Linked DNA regions of Alligator mississippiensis. The protein of the gene in region 1 interacts with the protein of each later gene in a pairwise test. Links are inferred from orthologs where the notes say so. Each region holds a gene or a part of one and is shown in the gene's direction. Other genes may lie near its edges. The genes, in order: RTN4, CERT1 and RTN3.

Region 1 (7,118 bases):
GTGGTGATATGTCTCATATCAATAGTAATTGAAAGGTATTACAATCCTATGGCTATATGAAATAAGAAAATTATCTTGGTTTCGCTTGGGTACACATTAAAGAAAATCTGCATTAATAATTAGTTTCAGCAGTGAATATTAGGACTAAATAAAAGTTTGGAGACTGGGGGCGTGTCCAGATGAGTTTGGCCGTTTGTTATGTGGTGCTGCAAACACGTTTGCAGCGCAACATACTGCACAGTCCAGAGTTCTCCGTGCCTGAAGAGCACGTTGCCTGAGTGTGTGCTGCTCCATTTTTTTTTCCTGAAGTGTTTTTTGACCTCTGGATATCCAGGGGTAAAAAAAAAAAAAAATATGTGGGGGGAAAAAATCCCCCAAGCAGTGTATGCTCGTGCAGCATGAGCTACTAAAAGGCAGAGCTGGACTGCTCGGAGCTGTGCTGCGGCTGCCAGCCAAGCTCTGCCTGGCAGGATTGCCATGGCTGCAGCTCCAGGAAGCCCCCAGGACCCCAGGTAAGGCTGCTGGGGACAGCACAGTGCTGGCTGCAGCCTCCCCTATACCACCCGGGGCAACTTACTGCATGCCAAAGTGTGTGTGTGGCATGCGTGTTCCCTGGGGACAAGAAGCAGCGGTGCAAGGTGCACCGCTGCTTCTTGTCCCCAGGGAACCAAACGTCCACGCAAGTCTGGATGCGCCCTGGGGGGTCTGTCTATACCACAACGTGGCAGGTCTTGGACAGGCCAGGACTTAACATGTTCTTCCTATACAAGTCCACTGACGTGCTCCAGAGCCAAAAGTTCACCTGTAAGCATACTCTGGACTCATCTCCAATGCCTGCTCTCAGATTCACTGGTGAACAAAAGCAGGCAGGCAGAGAATGAATCTGGAACAGCCTTTTGGGTGAACTTCTGGCTCTGGAGTGTCGGCAGACTCAATGTAAGGGACATAGGGAGTGTTCAGTCTTGTCCTCCCTGCCATCCATTTTGACACATTATAGACAGGGCCCGAATCATCCATTTCACTAGTAGTTGATTTTTCTAGATGTGGGTTGAGGCACAGTGAGCAGACCATTATACTGGCTCTGCCTGTGCTCGACCTGTTCTACTGATCTCATTTATAGCAAATATGATTTTGAAATGCAAAGGAAAATGAGAAATTAACATTTTTTGGTTAGTAATAAGCTGAACAACCATGAAATAGAAGTCTACAGTTCTAGCAATCCCTTGAGTCAGCTGTTTGGCAGGACAGGGACCTCAGGTGCTAACAAGAGGTGAAATAGAATCCTGTGCAAAGCCAGCACAAGGCCTGTGAACAACTAAAGCCATCAAAATGAGGCTTAATTGGGACTTAGTTCTTGCAGAGGGCTCGTGCTGAAGGTTCTGCAATATTAATGTCAAATGGTACTTACTAATTCATGTGGTTCCATTAGTCAAGTGAATAGTTTAATTTAATTTATGAAGACTGCTGACATTTTTAAGTTCAATGCAATGGATACAAAGCTGCAGACTTGGGTCTAGATCAGGGTCGGGCAATTGTTTTTGCCCATGAGCCACATTGGCAGTTCTGGGGATCTGCCACAGGCCAGTCAGCACCCCTTCCCCTCCTGCCCCCCTGCAGCAGGCTAGAACCCATGGACCACCGCCAATAGTGCACAGCCCCCAGCCTGCCCTGCCTTTGTAGGCAGCCCAGGAGGCAATGGCAGCTCCTTCCTGCTGCTGCTGCCACTGTCCCCAGACCTGCGGTACAGGTGGGGAAATGAGCATGCAGCCCTGACTCTGGCCTGCCACGTGCCCGCTCCAGACTCTGCCCAGTGGAGCAGACCAGCTCCGGACTAGTTGGAACCTGCGTGCACAGCCTTGACCTGCCCTGCACCTGCTCCAGACACCCTGCACATGCTGAGCAGTGGCAGCAGTGGTGGTGGCTGGGCAGAAGCTGCTGCTTGGTGTGGACAAAAAGCAGTTCCTCCCCCTCGCCACTGCTGGGCACTACTTGCTGCAGCTGCCTGGAGCCTGAGCCTGGGCTGCCTTGCTGCTCCTCTCCACTGTTGTCGCTGCTGCATTCAGGCCACCCAGTGGGGCAGTGATGGCAGCTCAGAGGAATGGCAGGGCAGCCCGGGGTTTGGGTGGCTGTAGCAAGAAGTTACCTTTTCTTGGCCCCACGCACTGGGATTGGGGCCAAGCACCACCCCCTCCCACCACAACTGGGTGCTGGGGACTTTGCAGTGTACCCGGCAGACCCCTTATATCGAGATTGGGGCCTGGCTGTGCCCTTCACACCAGGCCAGTACCCTGGATGCTGCCTTGCCTGGCTCTGCACACCAGATTGGGTGCCTGAGCTAGCAGCCAGGGCCTGGGACTCCTCACCGGCCTGGAAATTTGACAGCAGGAGAGCAGTGCTACTGCTCCCTTTCCACCAAAGTCCTGACTATGGGGGGAGTGGCGCAGGCTGAATGAAAAGGCCAGGGGTGAGAACCCGTTTCATGTCTGAGAAATGCCACACACATTAGGTTACTGTAGAAAACCATTTGTTCGCTAGCTGCCACCGTGTTGTCCCATGGCTGGGCTGTGGCTCTGTCTCAAACAAGAACCTGAGGGAGCAGAGAACAGTTTCACAGCTGACAGATGCCAGGGTCCTGTTACCTGGTAGGGGACATACCATGACCACCAAGATGGTTTTCCTACTGGCAAGGGAAAGCCACAAATGTGGGAGGGGATAGTACCCTCACCGAAATAATGAATAGTTAGCCCCCCACTTTGACTTCAGTGGGAGGGTCTTGGCTACATGCTGACTTTCTGGAAATGGGAGACTCCGCCCTAGCCTGCTCCTCTGGCTATATGGCTGAGGGCAAGTGAAACTCAGGGGCATCTGAACCCCAAGCCTCCAGGCCTGGGCCTGCATGTAGGATGCCCACCAAAGGATTTGGAAATATCTGAAACCCCAGGTGGGGGTGGAGGTAGCAGGCCCATGTATGGTTCTTGAATGATTCACATGGATTTGGAATTGATTTGGCTAATTTGACTTGGGACAGGAAACATTTTCCTTAAATAAAAAAAGTCCTGTCCCTGAGGCCTCCATGCTGCTCAGCATGACTGACGTGTGGCCCCGGAGGCTGGGGGTCATGGTGACTGGGCGCAGGTGGCAGTGGTGGGGCTGTGGTGGCAGCGAGCACGGAGGCCCTATAGGTGGCCATGGCGGTGTTGGTGAGTGTCTGCAGATGCTGCCTGCAGTGTTGCAGGGGGAGGAGGGGGCAAGCAGTGACTGCCCGGGGTTGCTGCCGGCAGTGTTGGCAGTGCTTCTCTCAGGGGCTGCACATGCACCTGTGTATACCCCCTACATGTTGCCAATGCTGCTCAGCCCTCTTTCCAGGGTGGGGTGTCAGGGGGGTAGCACAGGATGAATCCCAGCCAGGTGGTGCAGTGCCAGGACAAGCACCCACAGATCAAGCGTCTCAGTGGGGGCATCTGAATCCCAAGAACTTTGCAGTTGGGCCTGCCGGTGGGATACCTAGCAATGGATCTGGGGGGTATCTGAAGTCTCAGAGTGACAGCTTGGGCGGGCAGATGCTTGTGGGTTGTAGCACCATCATGGTGTCTAGAAGGATCGAGTACTGCCTGCTTCATCCACGTGCTTTTTGCTCAGTCAATATGATTTGGAACTGATTTGACCCGGAGCACTAAATATATTAATAACCCCCCTCAAAAAAAACCCAGCGCGGCAGGAAGAAGTGACCACGGGTGGGGACCCGGCCGGGGCCCGCGGCCTCCGGCTTTCAGCTGTGTCACTCGGCTCCTGACTCATCCCCATTGTCGGGCGGGGCCTCGCGCAGCACCGCGCCCGCCGCCCGCGCTGTCTACTCCCGAGCCCCCCGCATTCGACGCCAATTCTCCCCGCCCCTCGCTGCATTATTCATGAGGCGGCGGCGCCCGTTCATTGGCTGCGGGGGCGGGGCCTGGCGGCTCCTCGCGCTCCCATTGGCTGCCCGCTCCTTCCGTCTCCCCGACAAAGGGCCCCCCCTCAGCCGATTGTGACTCAACAGGGCGTGGAACGCGCGCACAGCAGCAGCAGCGGCGGCAGCTCCGGCCCGGCAGCGCCCATTGTCCCGCCATGGACGAGCCGGAGCAGTCGCCGCTCGTGTCGTCGTCCGCGGCCGCGGCCCCGGCGCCGCCGCGCTTCCAGTACCAGTTCGTGCGGGAGCCCGAGACGGGCGGGCGCGGCGACGGCGCCGAGGAGGACGAGGACGAGGAGGAGGAGGACGAGGACTTCGACGAGCAGCTGGAGGTGATGGAGCGGCGCCCGCCACCCGCCGCAGCCGCCGCGCCCCCGGCCCCCGCGCCGCAGCGCCTGGAGCTGGGCGGCGGCGAGCAGCCCCCGCGCCCCGCCGCGCCTGAGCCGCCGCAGCGCCCGGGCTCCCCCGCCGGCCTCGGCTCCTCCTCCTCCTCCTCCGCTGCCTCCACGCCGTCGCCCGAGCCTGCGCGGCCCGCGCCGCTGCCCCCCGCGCCCCGCCGCCGGGGCCCGTCCTCAGCCGCCGCCGGTGAGTGCCGCGGCCGCGCCCCTTTGTCTGCAGCGCCCGGCGCCGCCTGCCCATTGTCGCCCGCCTCGCCTCCCGGCCACGCCCCGGGCCCTCCCGGGGAAGGGGCGTCCCCTCTGCGCAACTCGCCTGCGGCCTCTGCAAGGCGCGGGGTTGCGCAGGAGGCTTGTGCCCGGGTGCTGCGCCTATAGCGCGGAGGGGCCGGCCCCTGCGGCCCGCCTCTGGGCTTTAGAGGCCGCAAGCCAACAGGGCGGCAGTTGCCCAGTTGGGGGTGGCGTTGTCAACTCGAGTGATCTTTGGCGGTGGTCTTAAAGTCTACGCCTTGGAAATGTGAAAACCAGTATCTGTCTGTCTGTCTGTCTATCTATCTATCTATCTATCTATCTATGCTGAGTCTTTCGTATCCTAAAATTTTCCATAAAAACTTAACATAGATGTATAAATCTCGATCTCTCTCGGTCTCTCAGAGAGAGAGATATCTATAGCTCTGAGAGAGAGATGCTCAGCCTTTCACATTTCCAGAGCATAGGCTTTAAGAACAAATGCCAGAAATCATGCTAGTTGGCAGCACTGGGGTCGCAATTTTCAGTGGGTGGGGGGCTGGGGTTTGGGAGTGAGGAAATTGGGCCATAAATGGGGTTTTGCTGAGGAAACATTTGGGAGGCAGTGGAATAAGATCTCAAAAGACCAGGGGCTTGCCTTTGGAGCTCTTAGAGGCAGCATCTGGAGGAGCCTTCCGTTGTTAAGTGTGGTGGGTGCTGGTTCAGCACCGCTAATGGAGGAAGCGCCACCAGAATTGCTGTCAATGTTGCTGAAGTTTTTTACGGGGGTCTCCAGTTTGCGTGTGGCTCTTGCTTTGTAACAGGGGGGTTGCCGTTCTGTTTTAGCCCCTGCCCTACTCAGCTTGAAATGCTGATCTTAGTCAAAGAAGCCACTTCAGGCAGCTGGAACCAGAAAAAAGGAAGTCTAGATGCAGGTTCCCTCCCCCACCCCAGCTTGCCTAGCCCTGCCATAGCATGTGCGCCAAAGACGTACAACCGTGCAGCAACATGGGTGCATAAAGGGTGTGATTTAAAATGGCTTGGATGTAACTGGTGAGATTCCTGCCTTCAACAAGTGTTTGTTTTCTATTCGAGGTCCATTTTAGTTTTCCTGAGTCTTGCAGCTCATTTAAGTTGTGCATTTAGCAGCTTTGCTGTTTCATCAGGTAGCTGTAGTCTCTCTAGTCAGTGTTGGTTCTTTACATAGCAACAGTCCTATGTTTCTAAGGTTGAGAAGAATACTGCTTCCTATTTCCCCATTCCAGTTGGATGAAATCATGGGATTTTAAAACCACGAAAACTCACAAGGGAATCTGGAAGAGGTGGGGGAGGGGTTCTGTGTGCTGACTGGGTAGAAATTTTTGCCTGGGCAAGTGAGTTGAACAGAATAGGGGAAGAAGAGCTTGAGCAGAATGACACAACAAAGGAAAGGAGTGGGCCAAGTGCAGAGGCTCCTTTAACTTAGAGGGAAAGAGCAGAGTCCATGGAGCTGTTCTATGTGTTTTATTGTTCCCCACAAGGGAGGAAAGCAGGAATAGGAGTAATTTCGGAGCTGTTGCTTCTTTTTAGAGTAACCACAACATATAATACAGGCTGTTAGGTGCTGGAGGAGAGGGTCATGGGTCAGAGAGGGTCTAGTATCTGATGTGTTTTTCAGTGGGGATCAGTTGCAGAATTTCACTTGGAATGGGCAGAATTTAGTGAGGCCTGAATTAGATAAGACTGACAGCGTTACTGATTCCTTGTTGGGCTGGCATCTTTGGCAAGTGTGGCTTATAGATAAGGGTTGAAAGTACAAATAGAATTGCACTTTCCCTAAATTTCACACCCTTCCTGGTAGGCATAGACCTTGGATTAGCAGTTGCTGGGGAAATATTTCAAGTCCAAGAATCTGAAATTGCTTCTAACGTAAAAATAAAATTAGCATACCCTTAACTAAGGAAATAATGTTTAGACATGAACTTAGTTAAACAGCACGAGTACTTCAGTTCTCTTGGGTGGAAGAGTATTTTAAGTTTATAGCATATTGGTGTTGAAATTCCAGGTGTTTTTTTTGAAGCTGGAGCGTAGGAGCTAACGTTGGAACTGTTCATCCCAACCAGAATGTTTAGTTTAGCTTTTTACTGTCATTTTGCGGCATATAGGAGAGTGAAGAAATAACATGATATGCATCTGTACCAGTTCAGCTCTTTTGGAGTGTTATAGTTGCTTACCTTCTTCTTCCTTATATAGGTTTAAGATGCGAGTGGAGATTTCATGGTTGTGATCTAGAAGTTTAAAATGTGCAGTATTTTGGTCAGAAGTCTTCTACAGTGAGATTTACTGATGTGTTTTAGTCTTGAACATGTTCAAAAGTCATAAAATGGCAAAAAATGGGGTGGTATTGCTTGTAGCAAGCATATGTACAGTGAGCTGTTAAACAAAGAATAAATACTGTGTGTGTGTGTGTGTGTGTGTGTGTGTGTGTGTGTTAAGTTTTTGAAATGATGATGTATGATCTACTGTATTATTTGCCCTACATTATTTTAAATATACAGAGAGAGTTTGAA
Region 2 (7,630 bases), on another chromosome or scaffold:
ACAGAAAACAAATTTTGTACAGTGCATAATATAACCAGAAAAGATCATTTAAAAACTGAATTCTCATGGTCAAAATTCATCAGGAAACATTATGCCAAGAGTACTGTTGCTCGCACTTTTTTAAAATAGGAACACACATTTAACTCTATACACACATACACTACATATAAATTTCTTGTTTTTAAAAAGTTTCTAAATTGTTTTCTGTTTTCTAGGGATCACACACAACTGTTTTAGTAAAAAGACATTAAAAATATTAACAGCTGCTTAAATAACCAAATCAATTAATGTTTTGTTCTTTAAACACAACTGCTTGAAGGAATGGAGGATGGTGCAGGAGACCAGAGAAGTGAAGGATGAATTCAGAGTACTGAAGTTTGAAGGTTGCAGGGTCAGCTCTGACTGGGAATGAGTGTGAGAAAGCAGGGTAGATATGCACATTTATAGACTAAGAGACCACAAGCTTTTGTCACCCCAAGTTCACTTCATCAGATGGAAAGAGAATGAAACAGAAGGTATTAAGACAGGGATGAACAGAAGAGGAGCAAGGGACAAGCATATCCAGAACGGAGTCAACAGTATTGGTAAATATACAGGAAGGAGGTGGACAGGGCAAGAAACAGGCAAGGACAGGAAAAAAAACAGACATTAAAGGGAATCATGGAGAACCTGAGTATAGCATGGAGGCAGTTATTATCAGGGTACAAAATAACAATGAGTGAGGGAAATCAAGGACTGGGGCAAAGTATAAATGGGGCAGGTTACAGGAAAAGCCTACTTTCAACCTTAACTCTTTTTTAATTTGGGGGGGGTGGGGGGGGCGGCAGGGGGTTGTTTGTTTTTATTTGGACCTGTAGCTAGAAGCTGTACAGTAAAGTTTGAAAAATTTTCCTTTTTCGTAGTCAGGTGTTTTGGGGTTTTTTTTGGTTCTAGTATCTGTTTCATTAATGTTTTTTTCTTTAATCACTTTGAGGGATTCTTTGAACTACAGCCCTGATCCCACAACTTATGCACAGCCCAGTCAGTTTTGATGAGCTTTGCTCAGGCATGCTCATATTCCACACCCTCCCTCCCAAATGCAGGAGCAGAGCTGTAAATTATTTAGCACATTTAAGGATGAAATCATATTCAAGTTTAATGAAATCTTATCAAACCATTCTATTAACACATCCCAGAGAAGATAGATGGTAAAGGAAGCAAAGTATATTATGCTTTCTATATTTTAAATGAATCTCATTTGTTGCTATGACTATTAATATACAGGATACAAATTAAGATTTAACTAGAAACACTGTAATAGTTAAGAGAGCCAAGATAAACAAGTCATGTTACCAGTGGACAAAACTTTTGATCATAGTCTAATTGTAAGTGAATTTGACAGCAGCAATAAGAGAGAGAAAAATTACTTTAAATTAATTTCAAACATAAAAAAATAGATAAAACATCTAAAGCATCCTAAAATATTTGTAGCTTCCACTGTGCTAACATAATTTCCCCATTCCCTCAACATTCTGCAAATTTGCATCACGGTTGCAATTAATGTATGCTAAGTACCTTACTATTAATCTGCATGATTATTTCCAAAGGTATATATGTACAACCAGAGGTGGAGGGGAGGGGCACAGTGTTCACTGAAGCACTTGCATCCCCTCTGATTCCTGTTCCACCCGAAGTTTAAAACTAACTGCCTGGCAGTCACAGCAGCATTTCTAGTCAGGCACTCTGAGGAAGTCAATGGACTTCATACTTCATAATCTATCTGATTCCTTTTAACTTCCTTCTAAATGCTTCATTCCACAGGTGTTAATGACCCTTTCTTCCTTTTAAGAGTCTTGATGTTCCACCCATCAAGCTAGTCTTTCTTCTGCAATTCGGCTGTCTGTTAGCTGTTCCGGGTCATGAAGCTCCTATTTCACAGCACTGCAGATTGCTTTTAGAATCATAAAAAGTCAGGGATGGAAGGGCCCTTTGAGGTCATCTAGTCCAACCCCTTTCTCAAATCAGGATTGTCCCCTTCTAGATCATCCCACCCAAGGCTTTGTCTAGCCAGGTCTTAAAAGGCTCCAAGGATGGCGATTCCACCATGTCTCTGGGTAGCCTGTTTCAGTGCTTTACTACCCTCGTAGTGAAAAAATTCTTCCTAATATATAACCTAAACTGTCCTTGTTCCCTTCCATTGTTCCTTGTTCTGTCATCTGCCACCACTGAGAACAGTCTAGCTCCATCCTTTTTGAAACCCCACTTCAGGTAGCTGCTATTAAATCCCCTCTCAGTCTTCTCTTCTCCAAATTAAATAAACCCAGTTCCCTCAGCCTCTCCTCAGAAGTCATGTGTCCCAGGCCTCTAACAATTTTGGTTGCCCTTTGCTGGACTCTCTCCAATTTGTCCACATCCTTTCTGCAGTGTGCAGGGGGGGGGGGGGGGGAGGCGCGGCAGCAACACTAGATACAGTACTCCAGGTGTGGCCTGAATAGAGGGGAAGAATGACTTCCCTGGATTTGCTGGAAGTGCAGCCCAGTATGCTGTTAGCCTTCTTCACAACAGGGGCACACTGTTGGCTCGTATTCAGCTTATTGTCTCATGAGCTTTTAACTCATTCCAATGAAGTTACTTTGGTTTTTGCTTCAATCTTAAACTGAATAATATAGGCCTAGACCCCCCAGCCTATTGACAAAGCTTTTATTTTTATGTGGAAAAAAATATGGTCTATTTTATATGTGCTGACCCACCTCAGCATCTGCACCAGCCTGTTCAAAATCCTTACATCCGTCCACGTGCCTGACACATTTTCCATTCACTGTAATCATCAGGAGCCGTGAGTTCATGTGAAAGAGTCTACTTGAAGGCAGGGCAGGGCAGCACCTTGCAGGCAAACTCATTCAGAAACGGAGAAGGGTTCGTAAGTAATGGTCAGCTTCACATAATGAAGCTGCTATCTGGTCACAGCCTCTCATAAGTGAACTGAGTTTAAGTTTGAGTCATGAATGCTTATGCATTTCTGAACGAGTCTGTCCCCAAAGTGCTACCCAGCCCCACCTGCACACCCCACCTTGCCCCTCTCCAATGAGACTGCGCACCCCAAGCAAGCTGAGGGCAGACCTGCGCCTTAAGAAGTAGAGATAATACAGGTGAGCCAGGGACAGAGCCTGCCCTCGCACAGGCATGTGTGGGTCCCAGTGCAGCCATCAGCCTTGCATGCCTTAGCCCTGCCCAGGCGCTGCAAGGATTGGGCTCCTGGGCCCTCCATGGCTGGAGGCAGCCACGCGAGCTGATGCAGCCCAAGCACCTTGAGCTGATGCTGCACCACTGTTGCCAGGTGTACAATAATTATCATATTTGTATATCTTCAACCCTTGTGCAACATACAACCAATAATGGTGAAAGTGTTCAAAATGTACAATACATTTGAAGCAGCTAATTGATGCAGCATATGCAAAACCCAAGCCACTGTCAGGGAGTCTTAACCAATTTTTGGGCTTGCTGTCAGCACTTTCTTATGACAGCTTGCCTCAAAATAAAGAAAAGCTTCAACTTGAATGACCCAGGTCTTACTCATCACTGGCGGGTTACAGCGAATTAAAGTAAAGACCACAACGACTTTCTGGCATACTGATTTGCGTGTTTTTTCAGTGTACAATAGTTGTTTGGCAAATACGATCATTTTGAGCTTCCAATTCGATAATTTTATATTTAAGAGGTGGCAGCTCTGCGCCCCCGCCGAGGCGCGGCTCTTGGTTGGGTCCAGACAAGCCTCGGCACCAACGGGCACCGGGCCGGGGACGAGAGGCGGCGGGAAGAGGCCGCGCGGAGGCAGGGCCCGGGGACACCGCTGCCGGGCGAAGGGGCGGCCGAGGCGGGGGGGCGGGGCTCCCGTGTCTTCGCCCGGGAGCTACAGACGAGGCAACGCCCAGAACACGGCTGGGGACGCAGGGCCCACCCGCTTGCCGGCCACGTTACCTGTGACCGCAGGAAGTATCGCTTGCCCCGATGCCTCAGCTGTGAGCCGGCGGCACCTTCCCTCAGCCGGCCGGCTCGGACCGCCCCTTCCTGCGGGAGGCGTGACGCCGCGGCCGCCATGTTTGTTAAGGGAAAGACCGCAGACTAGGCAGGCACCAGCTTCCCGACACCTGCGCTAGGGTGGGGGAACGGGGAATCTCTCCTGCCTGGAGAAGAGCTACGAAGCCGGGCAAGGTAGCAGACAGCGGTCTCTGTGAGGAGAGGCAGGAAATCGGGCCCCACCACACTGAAGACCGGAAAAGTCACATTCAGTTCCAGGCAGTGGAGCCAAGATGGCGGCTGCCAGTTCCCCTCCCAGTGTAACTGCTTTCCCGCGGTGGACTGCGTCTCCCAGCATGCTCAGCTCCAGGACGGAGAAAGACTGCAACTCCCAAGATGCACCGAGGCGTCCCGCCCTCGGCTGCCTTCGCGAAACTACAAGGCCCGGCGGGCAGCACGGCGCGGGCCGTGACACGGGGCGGGGGCGCGGCGCGGCGCGGCGCGGGCCAGGGGGGGCTGGTAAATAGTGGCACGGAGCGACCTCCCTGTGTAAGATGGCGGCGGCGGCGCTCTGAGCGGCGGCAGCGACTCCGGTGTTCGCTGCGGGCTGGGGCCGCACGGCGCAGAGGCGGGAGCCAAGCCAAGCCGCGGCGGGTGCAGCCAGGTCGGGCGCGGGACCGCGCAGGTGGAGCCAGTGGCTGCGGCGGGAGGCGGCTGCGGTGAGCGGGGGCCGCGCCGCGATTCCCTGCTCGGTGGCGGCGGCGGGTCAGGCCCCCATGTCGGACAACCAGAGCTGGAACTCGTCCGGCTCCGAGGAGGACCCCGAGACCGAGTCCGGGCCGCCTGTTGAGCTCTGCGGCGTCCTCAGCAAGGTAGGGACGGCGCCGCCCGCTTGGCGCTGCCCTCCCCGCGGCCGGGCGGGCACGTTGGGGTAGCCGGCGGGCGTCGGGCACGGGGAGGGCTCGGGCTGAGGATGCTTCTAGCGCCCGTCCTGAGAGCGGCGAAGTCTCCGCTCGCCCCCACCCCCAAATGGGGAGTCATCGCCGCCCGCACGAATGTCTGCCCCGGCGCCCCCTCCCCTCCCCTCCCCTCCCCTCCCGGGCCGGCACGGGCGGAGCCGCGCATCAGGTCCGCGAGCGGAGTTGGGCATGCGGTGGTCGCCCGGGGCTCGGCTCGCCCGGGGAAAATGCTGCTCATTTTTCTTTCTCTCATTTTGTTTCTTTTTTTTTCTGGTATGGTCTCTCTCTCTCTCTCTCTCTCTCTCTTATTCTCCCCCCCCTCCCCCCCCCAAGCAGCATGTGATGCTCGCACACAAATCACTTCCCATAAGTAGGGAGACGTCAAAGAGGAGTGGCACAACCTTTAGCCCAAGTATCAAAACAGTGCAATCAAACCACCCCCTGCCGCAGGAGATGTGGGGGGTGCGAGAGGAGGAAAATGGCACTGATGCTGCTTTTTTCCCAATTCTTGCTGCTGCTTTTTTTTCTGCTTTCCATGGGGGGAGCCAAACCTTTTCCTTTTGGTTTGGAAATGTAAGGAGACGGCTCACAACTGCAGGCAAAATGAGATTAAATAGGCTTTTAATAGATTAGGAGTGTTTTAAGGGCTAACTGTTGAGTGAACGGCTTCAGCAACAGAGAGGTGCTGGTGTTTTCTAGAGAAAGTAATATCATTATACACCCAGGTGGCTGAGTTCAGCATTTCTGTCCTGCTTTGCCACAAGGATGATTTTTAAGTCTGCACAGAATGCCGAGGTCATGGGATACTGAGATCATGAGCCACTCTTGTATACGAAGAAACCTATTGTAACTTAACCAGATGTTATGCTTTTTTGTAAGGGAGTGTATGAGCTCTTTCCAACTGGAAAATGTTTCTTAGCTCAGATGGGAGGAGTGCTCAAAAAGAGAGCGGCCTTGGCTCTTGTTTGGGAAATCTTGTATTTGGTATTGGGGGAGGGGACAGGAGACATTTCACAATGGTTTTCATTCATGGGAGGTTTTGGTACAGTAATGTGCTTTGCTGCCCTGCAACATTACCTCCTTATTAGGTGATTCAGGTCTTTAGGTAGAAAAATTATGTTTGTGGTGTGCTGGCCACTTGAATATTGGCAAATGACATGCTGCATGAAGTTCTATGTTAGCTTGTAATGGTGGGACTATCAAGTACGTGAAATCCCAAGGTGTCTTCCCAAACTTCTGTGCCATATTGGAAGGTAGTATGTGGTTGTCTTTCCTGTTTGTGGTGATTATGCTGATTTTCACAGACTGCTTTGCCTTTCCTGTTTATCCCCACTGTGTTCTCACATGGGGGTTTCATCTGAATTGTGAAGCATGATGAAACCTGTTGTAGTGAACATGCAGGAAGGCATTATGGCTGGCTTATATTCACTTGGTTTTTTTGCTGGTTTGTTTGCTGCTTAATTCATGTCTTCAGAAATATGAGAGCGAAATGAATTCAACTGAACTGATTGCCTAATGGCCTGTTTAGTATGCAAATGTTCTTATTTTTAAAGGCTCTTTCATATGGAACTATACTCCATACCAGCAAGAGCAGGTTCCAACTATTTATTGTGTTTCAGGTGCTCCAAGATATTTCTTTTCATTTTCCCCTCACCTGCCCTGCTCCCTGTGGGGAGAGCAGGTAGGATCTCAGTATTGGGAAAGGAGGAGCTGATTTATAAATAAAGGGCTTAGTGTTTGTTTTTTTTTTTTATGCTTAAATCTGTACACATGTTCTTACTGACTTGAATGTTTTTAAATATCTGCAATGCCCTTCTTGTAGTTCATTTTTTTTGTTTACCTTTTAAAGGTGGACACAAACTAGAAAAATTTGAATACAATTATTTAAACAGGTAGTCTTTCCTTTACAAGATTCCCCCCCCCCCCTTTTTTTTTTTGCTTACCTAAAACTGTATTGCAGGGTCAATTAATTAAATCAACCATTTAAAAAATATATTTAAATTAGGTTTTGTTTTTTTAAAGCATCTTAACAAAAAAAAATTTTTTTTAAATACAATTAAATAAAAAAAAATCTAATGTCAAGATAGCTTTAATTTAAGATCTCTTAAAGCTCAAAGAGATCATCATGGAATAGGAATTAACTTTAATTATATATTATTTGAGATGATATGTTTATATAACCTTTCTAGAAAAGTTTTATAAATAGGTCACAACAGGCCATGGACTATATTGGGGGTCCAATCTTACGGGGTTTTTGTTGGCTCCTCTGTAGATTAATAAAGATTAAAGAAACCCACTCTCCTGGGACTCAGTGCTCAGTCTAGAAGATCCCATTAAGCATCTCTGTGATGCTTAGTTTCAGTTGTCAAACTGTGGATTTGTCTCCAGAGATAATATCCTTGTTAACAGCAGTATATAGAGATGAGAGAGAACAGACGTGAATGATTACCTACTCTTCAGTCTTGTCTCTGCAAGTTTGTATACAGAGTCAAGTCCTTATCTTTCTCTAAAAGTGCAAAGCTTCAAGATGTTAAATGAATAAAGGATATCAACAAGAATGCACATTTGTAGAAAACGGCAATTAAATTGAGGCTTCCTGACCAGTGATTTTAAATTGTGATTTAAGTCATGATTAAAATCAATTTGATTTCAGTCAGATCCACCTTGCTGTATTG
Region 3 (7,498 bases), on another chromosome or scaffold:
AATGGTTCCCTTCCTGATCCGTAAGGAAACCAGAGCGTTTCCCCTCTGGAAATGACTTGCCAACCCTTCCACGTTGTCCAACGTGACATTTGATTCGGTAGGATGCTGTTGGCAGTTGTAGTGGATGTCTTCTATTCAGAACCTGAAGTGTCCCATGAGCCTTGTTGCCCATAGCTCCTTGCAGTGAGATCCCCCCACTGAGATTCACTCAGATTGGTGAAATCCAGCAACATCTTAAGTCTTTGCTTCAGGAAGAGCAGGTTTTTCCAGGTCCAGAAGTCCTGCCTGGAAGAGAGAGACTCTGACACTCTTGATCCTATAAAAGTTGCCAATAAAAGGCATCCACCTCAGGTTCTGGCAGCTCTGTGCATCTCCCTGGGAGAATGCAAGGTGGGACTTTGCATTCATTTCTCACAACTGGCTTTTGAGGACCTTCTCCACAGATGTCCAGTGTCGCTGTTCTAGAAAATGTCCCAACTGCATTTGCCATTTGAAATGTTTGAGGTCAGGAAGGAATTTTCCTCCATGGTCAGACTGGTATGGACTTGGTGTTGTGAGGGGTGGGGGGTGCCTTCTTCTGTAACGGGGTGGGGCATGGCCTTTTCCCTGGGATCTCTTTGAGTGTGTATATTAACAACCTTTTATAGAAGCAGGACTTTGACCACCATTGTTCCCCCTGCTTTACCTGTGGCAGGTTGGGGTGTGATGTTTTGTATTGCATTAGGGTTGATGATAGTTTTAGGAAGAGTTTAAATTATGGATTTGTATACGATGGGTTAGGTAGGGCCAGTCCTGCCTCAAGCAGGGGGTTGGACCAGATGTGACCTCTGGAGGTCCCTTCCAGCCTGACTTCGTGAAGATACCCCAGGCAGGATTCTCATATTACTCTAGTTTTACCTTCAGTGGGAAGGAAGCTTGGAAAAGCTCTCAGACAGGTTGAAGTGAACACCAAGAAAAACCTAGTCACTGGCTTCCCCTCCCCCCCCCTTTCCCCTTCTGTCTTCATTTGTCTGGATTCTCTGAAAATCAGGGAAGGATACAAGGAAAATTATTTCCCTTTACTGATACAATTTTTGTTAGGTGGAACATCAGCATAATTCCTGCGTACATCCTGTCCAGCCTTCTCAACTTGCATTCTCTGCCTTGAAGTCTCCATGGTTCAGCATGGTACCTAAGTTTTGTGTCGCTGGAGCCATGCTGTGTATCAGTTAGAGACCTGCCAAAGGTTGATGTCCCCCCACAGTCGTTTCTTCCACACTTAGCACCATCTTCATATACAGCAAGCAGCTTGTATTCACACACACTTTAAGTTGGCCAGTGATCTCTCTCGTTTGTGACCATGCTGGTGGTGCAAATGCTACATTGGAAACAAGCTTCAGTTGTGTCACTGCGTTATCTGGGGGATGGCGGTGGAGCAATATAACATGTGATGCCATCAGATGTAACTGAGGCCTTCCTGTCCTTCCAGTGGGCAGACATAGGCAGCCCCCCTTTCTTTTACCTATGGCAAATTAGGGTGTTCTTGGTGGTTTCGGGCTTTGTGCCTGGTAGTTGGGTGAGTAGGTTGTTTGTGCAGTTTTTATTTGGAATGAGCTAGACAGATGTGCACGGTATGGTTTAGATAGGGCTGATCCTCCCTTGAGCAGGGGTCGGCCTAGACGACATCCTGAGATGCCTTCCAAACCTAGTCTTTGATTTCTCAAACTCTGTTAACACCCTAATAACAGATGATTGCCATGCAAAGTAGGAATATACTGTATTCTCTCACCCAGAATATAAAGCACACTTGTTTTTGAAAGGTAGAATAAGGCGGGGTGAGTAGCAGTAGTAGTAAGAAACAGTAGCAGCAGCAAGGGATCCCAACCTGTTCATAGCTCCCTGAGTTGCCTGCAGATTTTACTTTTACTTTTGCCTTTAACTGGGCAGAAACTGCTCTTACTGTATTTATCACATATAATGTGCAGTGCAATTTACAGCAGCTTGTTCTTGTGGGTGAACCATGCATAGTATATGTGAGAAAATATGGTATTTGTGTTATACTTAACCAGCATGTTGCTTCCTTCAACTGGCTGAAAGTGGCCCAGTTTTCCAGACTGCACAGATGAGCAGGAATGAATGCCTAGGTGAAGGATAAACTATTAAAGCAAACCCATTTGTTTTTCCGCTTTAATTATTAGCTCCTCATGCCATTAATTTGCAAAGCAATTGGTGCTATAGTAAGGTATTTCTCTGCATTTTAACTTTATTCAGATGAAACTTGGAGGCTTATGCCTTGCTTCATTTGTGTGCATGTAAAACATTCCTAATTTTTAATGCTAACAGGCTCTTCTGATCAGCTCCAGGGGAGGCGTAGCATCTCGTAGAAAGAGACTTTCTACTATAAAGTTCTGTTCAGAGCTCCACCTCTTAGCAGACCTTTTGCTCTCATTAGTCTTGATAGCAAGGGTTGTTTTGGAGCTAATCAACACAGTTGAATCCACTTAGGAATTGCCACCGTATCGATGCAAATCTGACGAGTCTCCTCTCTCTCTCTCTCTCTCCTCTACCCTCCAAGGGTTTACAGCATCATAGCTCCTTTCACAACCACACTTCCAAGCATAGGAGCATTTCCCAAGTGGCAGTGTCACCCAGACTGGTGCCCGTGCCAGTGAAGTCATAGGCTGCACACAGAGAATCCACTCTGGGCACATCTGCTTAATTACAGTGCCTGGCGTCTTGTCCCGAAGCTCAAGGCGGGGTTAGGATGTACTATAGCCCCGTAAACATTTGTGTTTCAGGTGAGTGGCGTCCCTGATACGACTCCACCTTGGAATGACATAACCAGTCTCCCTTTCAAGACCTTGACCTGAAGTGGGGCTGTCATCCTAGCCCCCGGTGCTCTTGGCTACCAAGCCTACCCACACGCCAGGGTAGGAGAAAGGAGGAGGAGTTTTTCCTCACAACAGAACAGTGATTCTTCTAAGCAAGGTCCTTCTAAAGGTGCCACACACTATCAGCACTTAGTTGTGCAAACACCCGCACATGATTCGCAAGATAAAACAGAGACATCCAGTAGGAATCCTGAGGATCCAAAACATCCTGTCGTGGTCTTTCTGACTTCTTTACAATAGAAGAATTGCTCTATTTTTTTTTCATGGTCAAGAAATAAGATGCATCCTCTTGGCTTCTCTCAACCCATGATGGCAGATGCCAGGGAGAGTAACGCATAAGAGAGCGATCACTCAAGGTATACCTGGTACTTTGGTCTCCCTCAGAATCATCCACTCCTGGCACCATTGATAGATGGGTTGCTGGACTAGATGGAGCAGTGGTCTCAGCTAGAACGGCACCTCTTATGATCGAAAGCTAGCTGGCATCTTCCAAGGGGGGGCCTTGATTCTAATGAGGTTGAGAACCACTGCAGTAGAAAAGCAATAATGTTACACTAGGATGTCTTATGGAGGCTTCTGTTTTATCCAGGGAAGCCCAAACAAGTTCCTCTGAGCCATATGCCAGTCTATTGGGACATTAGTGATCAGGCAACATTTTCAGGAGCAGCTACATACAGCTAAGCATACATAAGTTCGCTCACTACCAGATAGGGACGAATCCAACCCCTCAGAGTTCATCCTCATGGTCAAGGCAAATTCCAGACTCTCACCGTTATGTCTTGGTGTAGAGGGGTTTTATACCTTTCAGGTTCAAATGTCTGTATTCCCACGCATTTCTCTTTGAGAGGGTGATCTCTTGGCCGGTAGAGTAGAGAGCAGGGAAACTTTCCTAGGGTCACCTTATTAGCATTGGGTGCGATTGCTGGTCTGTGCATCTCAGCTCCTTTGAAACTGTCCCTCGCCAGGTGCCTTCTCTCTCATTCTAATCATTGTCCTTCAGACTGACCTGTTTCTAGGAGCAGAGGATCTGGGAAGAGGAAGGTAGTGTGCTCCCAGCACAGGACAAAGGGGTGAGGGGTGTTCAAGACGTACTGCTTTTTGTGGTCCAGGCCAACCAGAACATCGAAGCTCAGCAGGCAGCGGCTGGACCTTTGGCCTTTTCAGGCTCATCTAGTAGTCACTTTAATTGGGGTGATTTGCAGCTGTCTCATTTGGATCTGTACCATATGTCATAGCATCCCCCTCGGTGTCTAGCACAGCATGCCTGAGATCCTCTTCACCCACCCCTGGTCGCTTTGCACACTTCAGGTATGGAGGCCCCCACCTTGTCGTTTGCTATCGGTCACAGCTGCTCGAAAAGTCCCGCTGTACATTGCAGTTTCTTGTGTCCAGTGGCTTTTCTGTCCTGTGACTGGCAGTGCTGTGCATGTCTGCCAAGGCTGGTGTCTTGGGCCCTCAGTTTCTCCCTCCCTTCTAGACCCTGAGAGCATGTTGCCTGTTTCGCTGTTAACCTTGTAACTACACTGTGAATCTCTCCCTCTCTCTCAAATCTCTGGCCTCAGAGGGGACTGCGTCTCCCCTTTCTGATAAGGCATCTTCGCCGGCGGATAGTGAGCCCCATGCCCTAACGAACATGAGGGTGGAACTAGCAGTAGACGGCAAAACGATGGTGGATAGCTTCCATGGGCCTAGCATGAATTCTGGAGTGGAGGCAACCTCTGTGGGTTCCCCAGAAGGCTCCCCCTTTTCCATCGTAGCGGAGCCCCGTTCTCACGGCCCAGCCATTCCAGTTGGTTTCCAAGAGCAAACCTATTCCACAAGCGATGTTCAGAGGGGGGATGACCAAGCAGAGCAGAAGGACCAAGGCGCTATGGACCAAAACAAGCCTGATGCCAGCAGCGAATCCAAATTTACTTTCTTGATGGAGCAAAAACAAGGTATTGAGCAGCCCGCTCCCAAAGACTCCATCTACTCCTCGGCCCAGCCTGGTGGTGAGACTGTGCTGGAAAAGGATTCTCCCGAGTCCCCGTTCGAGGTCATCCTGGATAAAGCAGCATTCGACAAGGAGTACAAGGCCTCGTTCATTAGTGAAGCCAACGATCTCGGTGGTCCCTGGGTGGTGCATGGTGAGAGAGAGCAGCTCACTGACATTCCCGAGGATCGCGTCTGCGAGTTTGAAGCCAAACCACGGCGGGGCAGCAGCGGCAGCTTCCCAATGGGCGCTGGCCTCTCTCGTCAGTCTTCCTGCACCACAGCTGCCCTGGAAGAGGTGTCCAAGTGCGTGCGCGAGATGCATACCTTCACGAATGAGCTGTTGACCTGGGACTTGATTCCCAAGGTGGAGTCTGCCAACAAGGTCCCTGAGTTGGATCTGTCAGAGTTGCCTTCCAAGGATGCCATAGATAGTCCTGCCCAGCCAACAGGAGAAGAGAAGGAAGCATTTAAAGCAGCCTCCCCTTCTCCCATCAGCATCAGGGTGTCCGCAGACTTGTCGGAGTACCAGTTCGAGCCACACTCTCCACGAGGCCAAGTTGTGGATCTGAAGACCTCCGGACCTGCCACTATCGATATGAAGGCTGATGTTGCTTGGACAGGCACCAGCCTGGTTGAAACAGCAGATGCAGACAGCTCGGGAGAATCTGACGACACGGTGATTGAGGACATGACCGCAGATCTGACCTTCAGAAGTGGCAAGTTCATCCTCCAGCCTGCAGAGAATGGCGCAGCTCCAGCTGGAAAGCCAGCTATCAGCCCTATCACCACTGGCGAAACCAGAGACTGGATCATTGCCGATCATGAAGAGGCCCCCACAGAGCTGCCTGAAAAGGGCATGATGCCCACCAGGACACCAGAGGACCACCGAGGATTCATCGATGACTTTGAAACACTCCAGGCTCACCCCGATATCAGGGGGAGTCCAGTATCTGAAGCAACACTTCTCAAGTCTTCCACTCTGGACTTTACACCCGTAGCTGCACAGCAAGTGAGCCGCACCAATTCAGTTGGCGTTGTGAAGCCACTTCAAGCTGGTGGAAAGCCTGATGTTCCTTCTAAAGAGCCTATACATGCACCAAGTGGAAAAGCCCCCTCACATATTACAGAAGGCCAACAGCGTCCAAACACCTTGAACGGGGAGAGCTTTGTGGACTTCATGAGAGAGTGCCTGAAGTCCAAAGGCAGTGGCGACTCCCCAGAGGACCTCACAGAAAACTTCTTGGAGGCTGAAGCCGTAGCTTCAAAAACTGCACCTTGCAGAGACAGAGCATATTGGTCAGAGGTGAAGGAGAGTCGTGAACACACTGAGAGAGACCTAACCTACAGCGGAGGCAGTCTCCAGAAATCCCCTTTCTCTCCAGGGTCCCCCACCACAGCCCAAGATCTGGAGCAGGAGCGACTAACGATCAAGGCCCTCAAAGAGCTAGGTGGAGAAGTAAATGAGAAGACATCTCCCACATCAAGCAAAGTCTCCCCGGTAGAAGGAAGAAGGGCAGCCTATGACCCCAACACTGGGACACCCCCTCAGAAACCCACCTTGGAGAAGAGGCCACTGTGTGTCCAACAGCCTATGGACCCCAAGCCAACTCCCATCCCTTGTGTTGGCACCGATGACAAAACCCCCAAAGAGCCCATCTGCGTTGGGCCGGCCCAGCCTCCTGTAGATCATGCTCTAGTGAGACTCCTGACTAAGTTTTCAGGTAAACCGCTCATTAGAAGTACAGTATCTCATTTGTTTGTCCAATGTTTCTCCTGATGCTACAGGTAGATATCTTAGGTCTCTGAAGGAAACCATCGAACGTGTTTCCTTCCTTAATCTTGAGCTTGCAAGAGTTCTTCCACTGTTCCTCCAGTGTCTTCAGCCCTCTCTATGGTATCTGAGCACCTTCTGTGTAAAATCTCTTGACCTTGATTGAGTTGGGGCATGCCTCTCTTGCTGGGCCGTCCGTGACTTTGTTGGGGGAGAGAAGGGGACCTTGTAGGGAGGTCTTTGGTAATAAAAGACCCTCGTATCCCTACTCCATTTACTGCCAAACCAGTCGATACAACCATCAAGAAATAGCAAATTCTCCATGTCACAGACATCCCTATTAATAACTCGCAGTTCCCGAGGCTTCCGAAATCACGTGTCGGGCTTAAAAAAAAATTGACTCTCTTCAGCAAACACAAGCGTTGAATTTATTGTAAGAGGTTATTGTGAGTGTTTCTCTGCAGAAGATAAAGGGTTGTTGGTGGGGGGAGCGGGTTGAAAACGGTCCTGAATAGAAGCTTTTGTTCACACTCCCCACATGTTTATGCTGGAAAGATGAATTTCAGGCCTCATCTTCAAAGCTTTTTCATGTTTGGACACACAATAATAAGGGGGTTTTCTTTTGCTGGGGGGGAAGAGATTCAGGCACAGATTATATAAGGTTCAATTGGCGTCCAGTCAGCATGGAACCGGTGACACAACGAAGGCTTCTGTTAGCGCAAGGAGCCGTGGGCTGGGCTGAAGACCTCTTGAGCGACAGCAAACAAAATGCAGAGAAGGCTAACGGCATGCTGGGGTGCATTAATAGGAGCATTGCCAACAGATCAAGGGAAGGGATTACTCCCCTCTATTCAGCACTGGGGAGGCACATCTGGAGTCCTGT

What was found.
Region 2: the proteins of RTN4 (region 1) and CERT1 interact in binary tests that used the Homo sapiens proteins (3 or more experiments, as listed by UniProt). The link is inferred for Alligator mississippiensis from reciprocal best matches to the Homo sapiens genes RTN4 and CERT1.
Region 3: the proteins of RTN4 (region 1) and RTN3 interact in binary tests that used the Homo sapiens proteins (3 or more experiments, as listed by UniProt). The link is inferred for Alligator mississippiensis from reciprocal best matches to the Homo sapiens genes RTN4 and RTN3.

Annotation. Positions count from the first base shown.
Region 1 is NC_081824.1:207,171,887-207,179,004, reverse strand, and holds the start of RTN4 (reticulon-4), read left to right. Parts: upstream 1-4,022; 5' UTR 4,023-4,104; coding exon 4,105-4,531; intron 4,532-7,118. UniProt on the Homo sapiens protein: Required to induce the formation and stabilization of endoplasmic reticulum (ER) tubules. They regulate membrane morphogenesis in the ER by promoting tubular ER production.
Region 2 is NC_081826.1:254,408,331-254,415,960, reverse strand, and holds the start of CERT1 (ceramide transfer protein), read left to right. Parts: upstream 1-4,571; 5' UTR 4,572-4,772; coding exon 4,773-4,868; intron 4,869-7,630. UniProt on the Homo sapiens protein: Shelters ceramides and diacylglycerol lipids inside its START domain and mediates the intracellular trafficking of ceramides and diacylglycerol lipids in a non-vesicular manner.
Region 3 is NC_081838.1:4,720,944-4,728,441, reverse strand, and holds the start of RTN3 (reticulon-3), read left to right. Parts: upstream 1-4,468; 5' UTR 4,469-4,503; coding exon 4,504-6,565; intron 6,566-7,498. UniProt on the Homo sapiens protein: May be involved in membrane trafficking in the early secretory pathway. Inhibits BACE1 activity and amyloid precursor protein processing. May induce caspase-8 cascade and apoptosis.